Saccharomyces cerevisiae S288C: one gene and its partner. Changing the gene in region 1 together with any one later gene gives a genetic interaction. Each region holds a gene or a part of one and is shown in the gene's direction. Other genes may lie near its edges.

The links.
Region 2: mutations in ECM25 (region 1) and ZRG17 together harm fitness more than expected from each alone (negative genetic interaction), as found in Saccharomyces cerevisiae (2 studies listed by BioGRID).

Annotation. Positions count from the first base shown.
Region 1 is NC_001142.9:52,312-56,757, forward strand, and holds ECM25 (Ecm25p), read left to right. Parts: upstream 1-2,067; coding exon 2,068-3,867; downstream 3,868-4,446. Other genes in the region: RCY1 (Rcy1p), read right to left, coding at 1-840; PRP21 (Prp21p), read left to right, coding at 1,030-1,872; aconitate hydratase ACO2, read right to left, coding at 4,133-4,446. UniProt on the Saccharomyces cerevisiae protein: May be involved in cell wall organization and biogenesis.
Region 2 is NC_001146.8:696,785-700,941, reverse strand, and holds ZRG17 (Zn(2+) transporter ZRG17), read left to right. Parts: upstream 1-1,510; coding exon 1,511-3,328; downstream 3,329-4,157. Other genes in the region: COQ2 (4-hydroxybenzoate octaprenyltransferase), read left to right, coding at 1-401; MRX15 (Mrx15p), read right to left, coding at 482-1,252; putative ATP-dependent RNA helicase DBP6, read right to left, coding at 3,458-4,157.

The DNA of each region.
Region 1 (4,446 bases):
GATGAACTGTAATATTACAGGGAACTCATCTTTGAATAAAATGTCCGCTAATTTAATCTTTTCGTTGAGGAAATCCCTTAGCTGATTGAGAAACGTATCTAAATTTTTAGAATTAAATATCACGGTACTCCCACCGCTGTCCTCTTCCCTTGGTTGTTCGGCCCAAAATAATTCATCATTAGACGGCAAAACCGTTAAACTGGGAGGCAAATCAGCCTTTGACTTGAAAAATTCGATAGCATTGCTTTCCTCATTAGATATCAATAAAATTTTCATGAAACGAGCGACGGCAGCTAAATTATTAGACTGGTAATTCAATTCTGACTCTTTGAGAACAGAATTAATGAAGATTTCCCTAAGAATGTTGAAATTAGTTTCAATCCTAGTAAATGTTTCTATATCATTTTTATTCGAGAAATTGTACTTTTTGATAAAATTTAGAATTCTTGTTTGTTTCAACGGATCGTTGGAATATGAAGTAGGAAAGAAATTTGCTAGATTATTATTATATAGCTTCCTAGCGTATGAGTTATAACAACGGTAAAATTTCACAAAGATTTTTTTAGAATTTTGAGCAGTGAAAGATTTGTATATTTCGAAGATGCGAAGGGAATTTTGATTATCATTTTCATCCAGCAACGTAATTTCTTCTTCTTCATTTGAATGCACCTGTTGGAGACCCATTCTAGTCAATTTCAATGACCAATACTTTGAATCATTTTTGCCGTTAATGATTGCATAAACCCGTTTATTCACTTGTTGAAAACTCAGATAATCTACAGTAGATAAATATGAGGCAATATTGGTTACAATCTCGGGAACTTTTAGCAGATCATCCATTTTACCGATTTCCTCAAAAGCTTTTGTTTTCTTTTGGTTTTTCTATTGTTTGTCTGTTGACCATTTTTTGATAAAATAAGAACCTTCCTTCAACGAAATATTTCGGCAAAAGTTAGCCTTGAAACACTTAAATACAGGAAGAAATAAGGTAAAGCGTAAAACTAACAGCAATAATTTGCAGTTGTATAAATGGAACCAGAAGATACCCAGCTGAAAGAGGACATTAAAACCACAGTAAATTACATAAAGCAGCATGGTGTTGAGTTTGAGAACAAACTGCTAGAAGATGAGAGATTCTCATTCATCAAGAAAGATGACCCACTCCATGAATACTACACCAAACTCATGAATGAGCCAACAGACACTGTCAGCGGTGAAGATAATGACAGAAAGAGTGAGCGAGAGATAGCAAGGCCGCCGGATTTTCTGTTCTCTCAATATGATACTGGAATATCCCGAAGAGACATGGAAGTAATCAAATTGACAGCACGCTACTATGCAAAGGATAAAAGTATTGTTGAACAGATGATTTCAAAGGATGGTGAAGCCAGATTAAACTTTATGAACAGCTCACATCCGCTACATAAGACATTCACTGATTTTGTCGCCCAGTACAAGCGAGTATATTCTTTTACTGGTCAAGAAATCAAGAAAAGTAAGAGAACCATTTTAGATAATTGTTTTGAGAGAACACAGTATTGGGAATTTGAGAAAGATAAAGACCGGGAACATGATAAGCTCGTAGAGTTGTGCAAAATACAATTTGCAGCCATTCCATGGGATAAATTTACTCAAGTGGCAAAATTTTCTATCCCTGAAGACACAGAAATCTTCGAAGGCTCTCTAGATTTAGAACAGATGAGGCTGCGAAGAGTACAAACTGGTATTAAGTTATTCGATAGTATCAAGCCGACAAATGAAGAAGAAAAGATAGTATCCGACCAAGGTAAGCAAAAAGGAGGAGATAGTAAGGGCAAAAAGCGTAAAATTAGAGCTGTGGGAGAGACAAGGTTAAAGAAAAGTAAAAAATAAGCCTCATGAAAATCAAAGTTAGCTAGAAGTATGTAAAGGTTGATGATGCACCGTAATTGAGCACATGTATCACTATTAACGGCGTACGTATTTTGGCGTTTTTTCATGTTGATGTTATTTTGTATATAGAAAGTGAAATTCTCGAGGATATGGCCCTACTGGATAATACTATTGGTAGCGTGAAAGAAGGCCAGGATGATAGATATCAACGTTAATAACATATTTTTTAGATCTTATTCAGTTGATCCTAACTCTGGTCACGCAATTTATGTCTTTGATTCGACTTATTTGCCAGCATCTGATGAAATTGGCGATAAGCAAGTTTATGACTTGCTTATTAATGCCCTCATGGATCGATTGGTAATGAAATTGCCACAGGCACCATATTCACTGGTGATTTTTTCATCTGGGTTTTCCCAGAGAAAAATAAGCTGGGTTTACGGTATTAAAATGTTTGCAAAGTTACCCAAAGAGACCAAGTTCTATTTACAAAAGATTTTTATTGTTCATGAGTCATTCTTCGTTAGGTCGGTCTATCAAGTAATTTCAAACGCTATGAACTTTAACTTCTTGGACTCAAAAGATAGTCAGCATGATTTTCCAAGTTTAGTTCATGTCTTGGACCTGACTTCTTTATCCGAGCTAATAGATATTACGCGACTTAGAATATCGTTGAACGTGTACTTATATGATTACCAGATACGCGAACATATAAATGTCCCGGAGGAATATTATAACAGATTGACCCCTCTGGCAATAAGACAGTATAGGCAGTTAGTATTCGATAAAATTTTCAAGAAATTACAGAATGACGCTCTGTTGTGTGAATTGATATTCCAGAAGCCGGGAAACTATAAAAAGGTAAACATTTTTTTGGATATTATCAAAAGAAACAACTACATTGATTTATCTCAATGGGATATTTATTCTTTGGCATCCGTGTGGTTGAATTACTTCATTAAGAATAAAGCCAAACCTCTAATCCCAATTGAATTAATTCCGTTACCAATTGTTGATGATCTAAAGTTCACAAGTGAAACATTCCGCAAAATTATTAAATTCAACCAATACCAGGACCTCTTTATGGTCATAATTCCTTTTTTTAATAGGATCATAGCGCATGGTGAATCGACTAAACATGATTCAAGGACCCTAAGTAAAGCTTTAACTCCGGCGTTATGTAAGGAAAAACTTTCCATGATGACTAATGATCGTTTAGCTATTGGGTCGAGATATATTAAAAATTTACTGGACTTTTTCCCCGAAATCGCGAAGGAAATATCATCACCTCCTTCATCCGTATCATCGTCTTCTACTATCCCTGTTTTGCCTAAGCCAAGGAAGTCGTCGCCAACCAGATACAGTGAACTAGGCTGCTTAACCCTTCCTAGAAGTCGAAGCCCTAGTCCACAAAGATCTGTTACGTCTCCAACGTACACACCTGTCGCATTACAAAATACACCAGTCTTGAAACCTAAGTCTTCAAGCAGAAATGTTTCATCCCCATCATTCAATGCCAAACCTCCACTTCCTATTAAGGCAGTTACACGACCACAACTGTCTCTAACTTCCAATTCTAATACAGATTTGGCATTAGCTTCTTCTTCTACAGATACATTATCCTCACCGACGAAGACTCCATCAGCAGACTCGCTTCCATTGAGTAACAGCAGCACCGATTTAACGATATCAGATAATATCAAAGAAATGGTTAAGGACGAGCCAGCAAAGGATAAAAATTCTGTGGAAACAGATATATTCGTACAACAGTTTGAAAGTTTAACCCTCGTCCAAAACGCGAAGATTAAGAAGTTCGACAAAGAACTACAAGAAAAGAAGAAGAAAAATGAAACTACTTCAAAGACAGCAGATAAATTCTCTCAAAAGGGATATTCAGATATTAAAGCAAGCAACAAGGTTAGCAGGCTAGCTGCATTGTACGAAGAACGTTTACAAGGTTTACAAGTAATGAATGAAATGAAACAAAGGTGGTAACTTACATAATTGTATCTTTTTAACACATACATATTGCATATACGACAACAAAATACCCCCCACCCTTGAGTTAAGCCGTAGTTGAAGCAGTCGAGATCTCGTGTATAATATTATATATCAAACAATATTACGTTTTTTATAGTAAATAAATAAATAAATAGGTAGGTTATTTGCACCGTCTATATGCAGAGTCTATAGAATTGTGTAAACTAGCTTATGACTATTAAATCGGACTCTTAATTTTTAGCTAATATCTCTTCAGAATTTATTCGTTTCTTCGTATATTACCAATATAATTGATTGCTGAACCAGCTTTGAAAAAATCGATTTGATCTTTAGACATAGTATGTTTTGCCTTGATGGTGAACGATTCACCGTTTGGTTTAGTAATTTTAACATCAATTTCACCACCGTTATTACCATCCTTAGCAATCATGTCAACTAGGTTCAACGTTTCTAAAACATCTCCGCTTGATATTTTATCATAGTCAGATTCGTTGGCAAAAGTCAATGGCAACACACCTTGTTTCTTCAAGTTTGTCTCATGAATTCTTGCAAAAGACTTAACTAAAAGAATCT
Region 2 (4,157 bases), on another chromosome or scaffold:
GCTGGCCTACAATGATACCTTTGTACCTGAGCAGTTACTTGTGGTGTATGACTTACGATACTATATACGCACACCAGGATAAAAAGTTTGACATCAAGGCTGGAATCAAGTCTACCGCTTTGGCTTGGGGTCCACGCACAAAGTCTATCATGAAGGCCATGTCCGCGTCTCAAATCGCACTGTTAGCTGTCGCCGGCTTGAACAGTGGGTTGTTATGGGGGCCTGGGTTCATTGGTGGACTAGGAGTCTTCGCTTATAGACTCTTCAGCATGATAAAGAAAGTGGATCTTGACAATCCTAAAAACTGCTGGAAGTATTTTAATGCAAATATCAACACCGGACTTTACTTTACGTACGCCTTGGCAGTCGACTACATCTTGAGACTGTTTGGATTCTTGTAGATATAGCGTGCATATACAAGTGTTTAATTGTTCTTTTATTCGATTATTATTTACATGCATTCTTACGTAGATGTCCGTACCTATTTGGGCTTCACGATATTCTTGATGGATGATCTAGAATTCCCCGAGTGAAATAGGGTCTTGGCAGACGTATGTGAAAGGATCTGAGTTAATATTGACCTGTTCAATAGCTTATTTTCTGCCACACTGTTGAAAAAGCAGTCCAAGATCCTGGCGTCATTCTTCACAACGCTACCAGATCTCGAGAAAATGTAAAATTTATTGAAAAATGAGGGTGCTTTTTCATCCACTGTGAAGAAAACAAAGGTGGCCTTATCCTCCATACCTTGAGAACCTACTCCTGTGAAGATCTTGGTGGCCTTATTTTTAGACAGTTCATTGATCTCCCTCGTGATAGAAACTGGTCTTCCTAACAAGTAAGTGCGTCGAGTCAATTGACACCGTGGCACCGTACTATTCTTGAGCGGTGGCAGATATTTCATTTCTGTGACTAGTCTTGACGTTACGTGTTTCGTGGCAGCAGCGAGGATCACAGGCAAAACCCCTAAAGCCACAGGCCCAAAAGTTTTGCACTTGAACCACGGGCTGTGTTTTTCTTCCTCAGTAGCGTTTCCGTACACTTCTCGAGCAGTTCTCCACGACATATCAGTGTATGCAGCGCCATATGTGAGAAACACTACAGCTAGAGCAGTTGAAGCCCATCGTATCGACCGTGGTACCTTATACTGGAACACAGGCTTTTTTCCTCCGTTACGTCCGACTTCTTCGATTAGCTGCGCTAGTGTGAAGCTGCTTCCTTTGAACTGATTCTTGGCAGCCATGTTTGTCATACCCTAGTCCACATAAGATAACTAAATGCACCTTCTTATGTTATAATGTAGCTAAAATGAGAGATGATGATCTTTATTGTTCTCGAATTTCAGCGCGGGTAACGCAACCTCAAAAAGTTTTCCACAAGTGTCCTATTGCGTAATATCAAGAATATTCATTACTGAAAATGATGAACCTTGAAGGTATTTTTGTTACTAAGAGAGAAAAAGTGAATATTTAGTGACTTGTGAGCGAGATTATAGAATAGGGAAAGAGCTATGGAGACGCCGCAAATGAACGCTATACAAGAGGAGGACAATTTGTCTCCGGAAGTTGCTTTCCAGACTCCTAAATTGAATGATTCCGATGCTTCATCGTTTTCTTTGTCCAATATGAACGCTGTCGGGAATGTAGACGGTATACCATCCCAAAACAGGACATTTTTTGCATCACCTAGGCCCAGTTCCCTATTTTATTCTGCCAAGGAAGGTAACAATTCCAGTTCTAGTATCATCTACAATCCTTCGTTCACTTTTGGTGAAAACGCTTCTAGTAATGCTAATATCAATGAAGCTGCTTTGATGAAGGGAAAAGGCAACGAAGGACGAAGGCAATCACTCAAATATATACCAGCACCAAAGCTGGTGCCGCCTCCTCCCAGAACAAGATCACCGGTAAGAGGCATTTCCCCCGATGCTGGCAGCAGTAAGAGGTCTTCTATGACCTTGGATTCTCCCTTTAATTTTACGACATCAACGCTGCAACCGCATCAACAGACACCACCCTCTTCAGCTGCATCAAGGACCTCATTTCGTAAGGGGCATCGTTATAAGCATTCCTCTGTATCCATGAATTTTTTTCAAGAGCCTGAGGTGAAAATTCCTTTGAACATTGCCAAATCTCTTCCCATTCCAGATTTCAATGATTTGCTGTCAAATTTGCCATGGCCAAAGGCTTATATTCAGTTATCTATTGCCGCTCTACAAATCTTTGCATGTCTGATTACTTTCCAAGTCGGACACCTGTACTCATGGAGTAATTTTATTACACTATCGCATTTTATTACTTACGATATCATCGGTTCGCTGGTAATCATATTTGTGGAAAATTTGTCTCAGTTCCAGGTATGGTTTACAGGCACTATCACATTTCCATTCGGGTTAAATAGAATAGACGTTCTACTAAGTTTTGCGCTTGCCGTTTCGTTATGCTTTGTTGGGCTGGACCTTTTATTCCATATAATTGAAGAATTCATAGTCCTCTTTGTAGAATCTGGTAGTTCTTTGACGAATAACCATGATCACGATGAAATTAATGAGCAAATTCCTCATTCCCACATTGCCAATGCCAATGATTCACAAAACGAGAATATTACCTTATGGTATAGCATACTAATGATCAATTTAGTGTTATCGACGTTATCACTTTATAAGACGTTTTATGCTAACAAATACAGTAATTTAAAGACGAAGAACCCGATTATTACCATCACTTATACAGCATACCTATTCATTTATCCCCTACTATTGGATCTGTTATCGAGTATATCCGATTACCTTGCTACTTTGGTTATTTCGAGTTTAATTCTATGGCATGGGCTGACTATAGCACGGTGGACCTCGACAGTGTTACTAATGGGATTTTCCACCACATCTTTATCCAATTCAGCGTTATTCAATAATAATGACAGCACTGATACGACCGCCCATACTCAACAAGTCGAGTCTAAAGCTGCTAAAGAAAAACCATCTGTACGACCAAGATCAATGAGCTCACTACCTATAGCAACAAAGAATACAAAGATACGGAAAACTGGGTTTTTGAATTCTGCAGGTTTCACTGAAAATCCAACAACCATTAAGAACATGATCAAGGACCAAATCGAGAGATTAAGTGAGTTTAAATCCAGATACATCCTAAATTACGATGATATAGTAATAAGCAAAGTGAATTTTACGCTTTATGTGGTACTGATCAAGATAACAATGAAAGGAGGCTCCGACGATGACGAATTGATGTTAAGGTTAGCCATTGACAAGTGCATTCAAACGAGCATTCCAACGTGTGAAACTACAATAGACATAGACCGAATATAATTTTACAGTTACATACCCATCAATACATACATATTAATATTACTATACTCAGGAGTTATTAGAATGAGACTAAAAAAAAAAATGTTTGAATGTTATAAATGAATGGATGCGAAGGTGGAAAGTGAGAAATTAAGCTTGTGCGGTGTTATTGTGATAGTTTTTCAAACTTTCTAGAGACGAAGTATATAGTTCAGAATCAGATTCCAATAGGGTAAAATCGAGTTCTAATGGCTGGACAGATTTACCGTCTCTATCTAGATCTTTGTTTAAGTCATCGAAAAACGTTCTTTCACCTCTACCTACTAGTAAGTTATAAGCGGAACCAAGTTCGTTAGCTCTTGCTGTTCTACCAACACGATGGACATATTGTTGAGAAGACATTGGTGGGTCATAGTTTATTACTTGAGTGATATCGTTAATATCAATACCACGGGACATGATATCGGTAGTAATTAAGATGGTAATGCCTGCGCTTTCCGAGTGATGCGAGAAGTTCGCAACAATTTTTTTATTTTCTGCTTTGGAGTTGTTTGAATTGACAGAATTAATACTCACCGCCAAATTTTGAAGGTTTTTCAATACGCTGGATTGTGAGCGAGATTCACAGATAAGTTGTAGTAACTTGCTTAATCTGATAGACGATTCATTTGATTTAACGAAAATCAAAATCTTTGCAGCAATGGGGGAATGTGCCATAAATTGGCATATTGAATACAACAATATCAATGGCTTGTAAACACTTTTCGCCGTGGGAATGTTGATGTTAAATTCATTCAATTTGTTAGGTAGCTGGTACAATTTATCGGTTTGCTTCAGGAACAACTTTGGT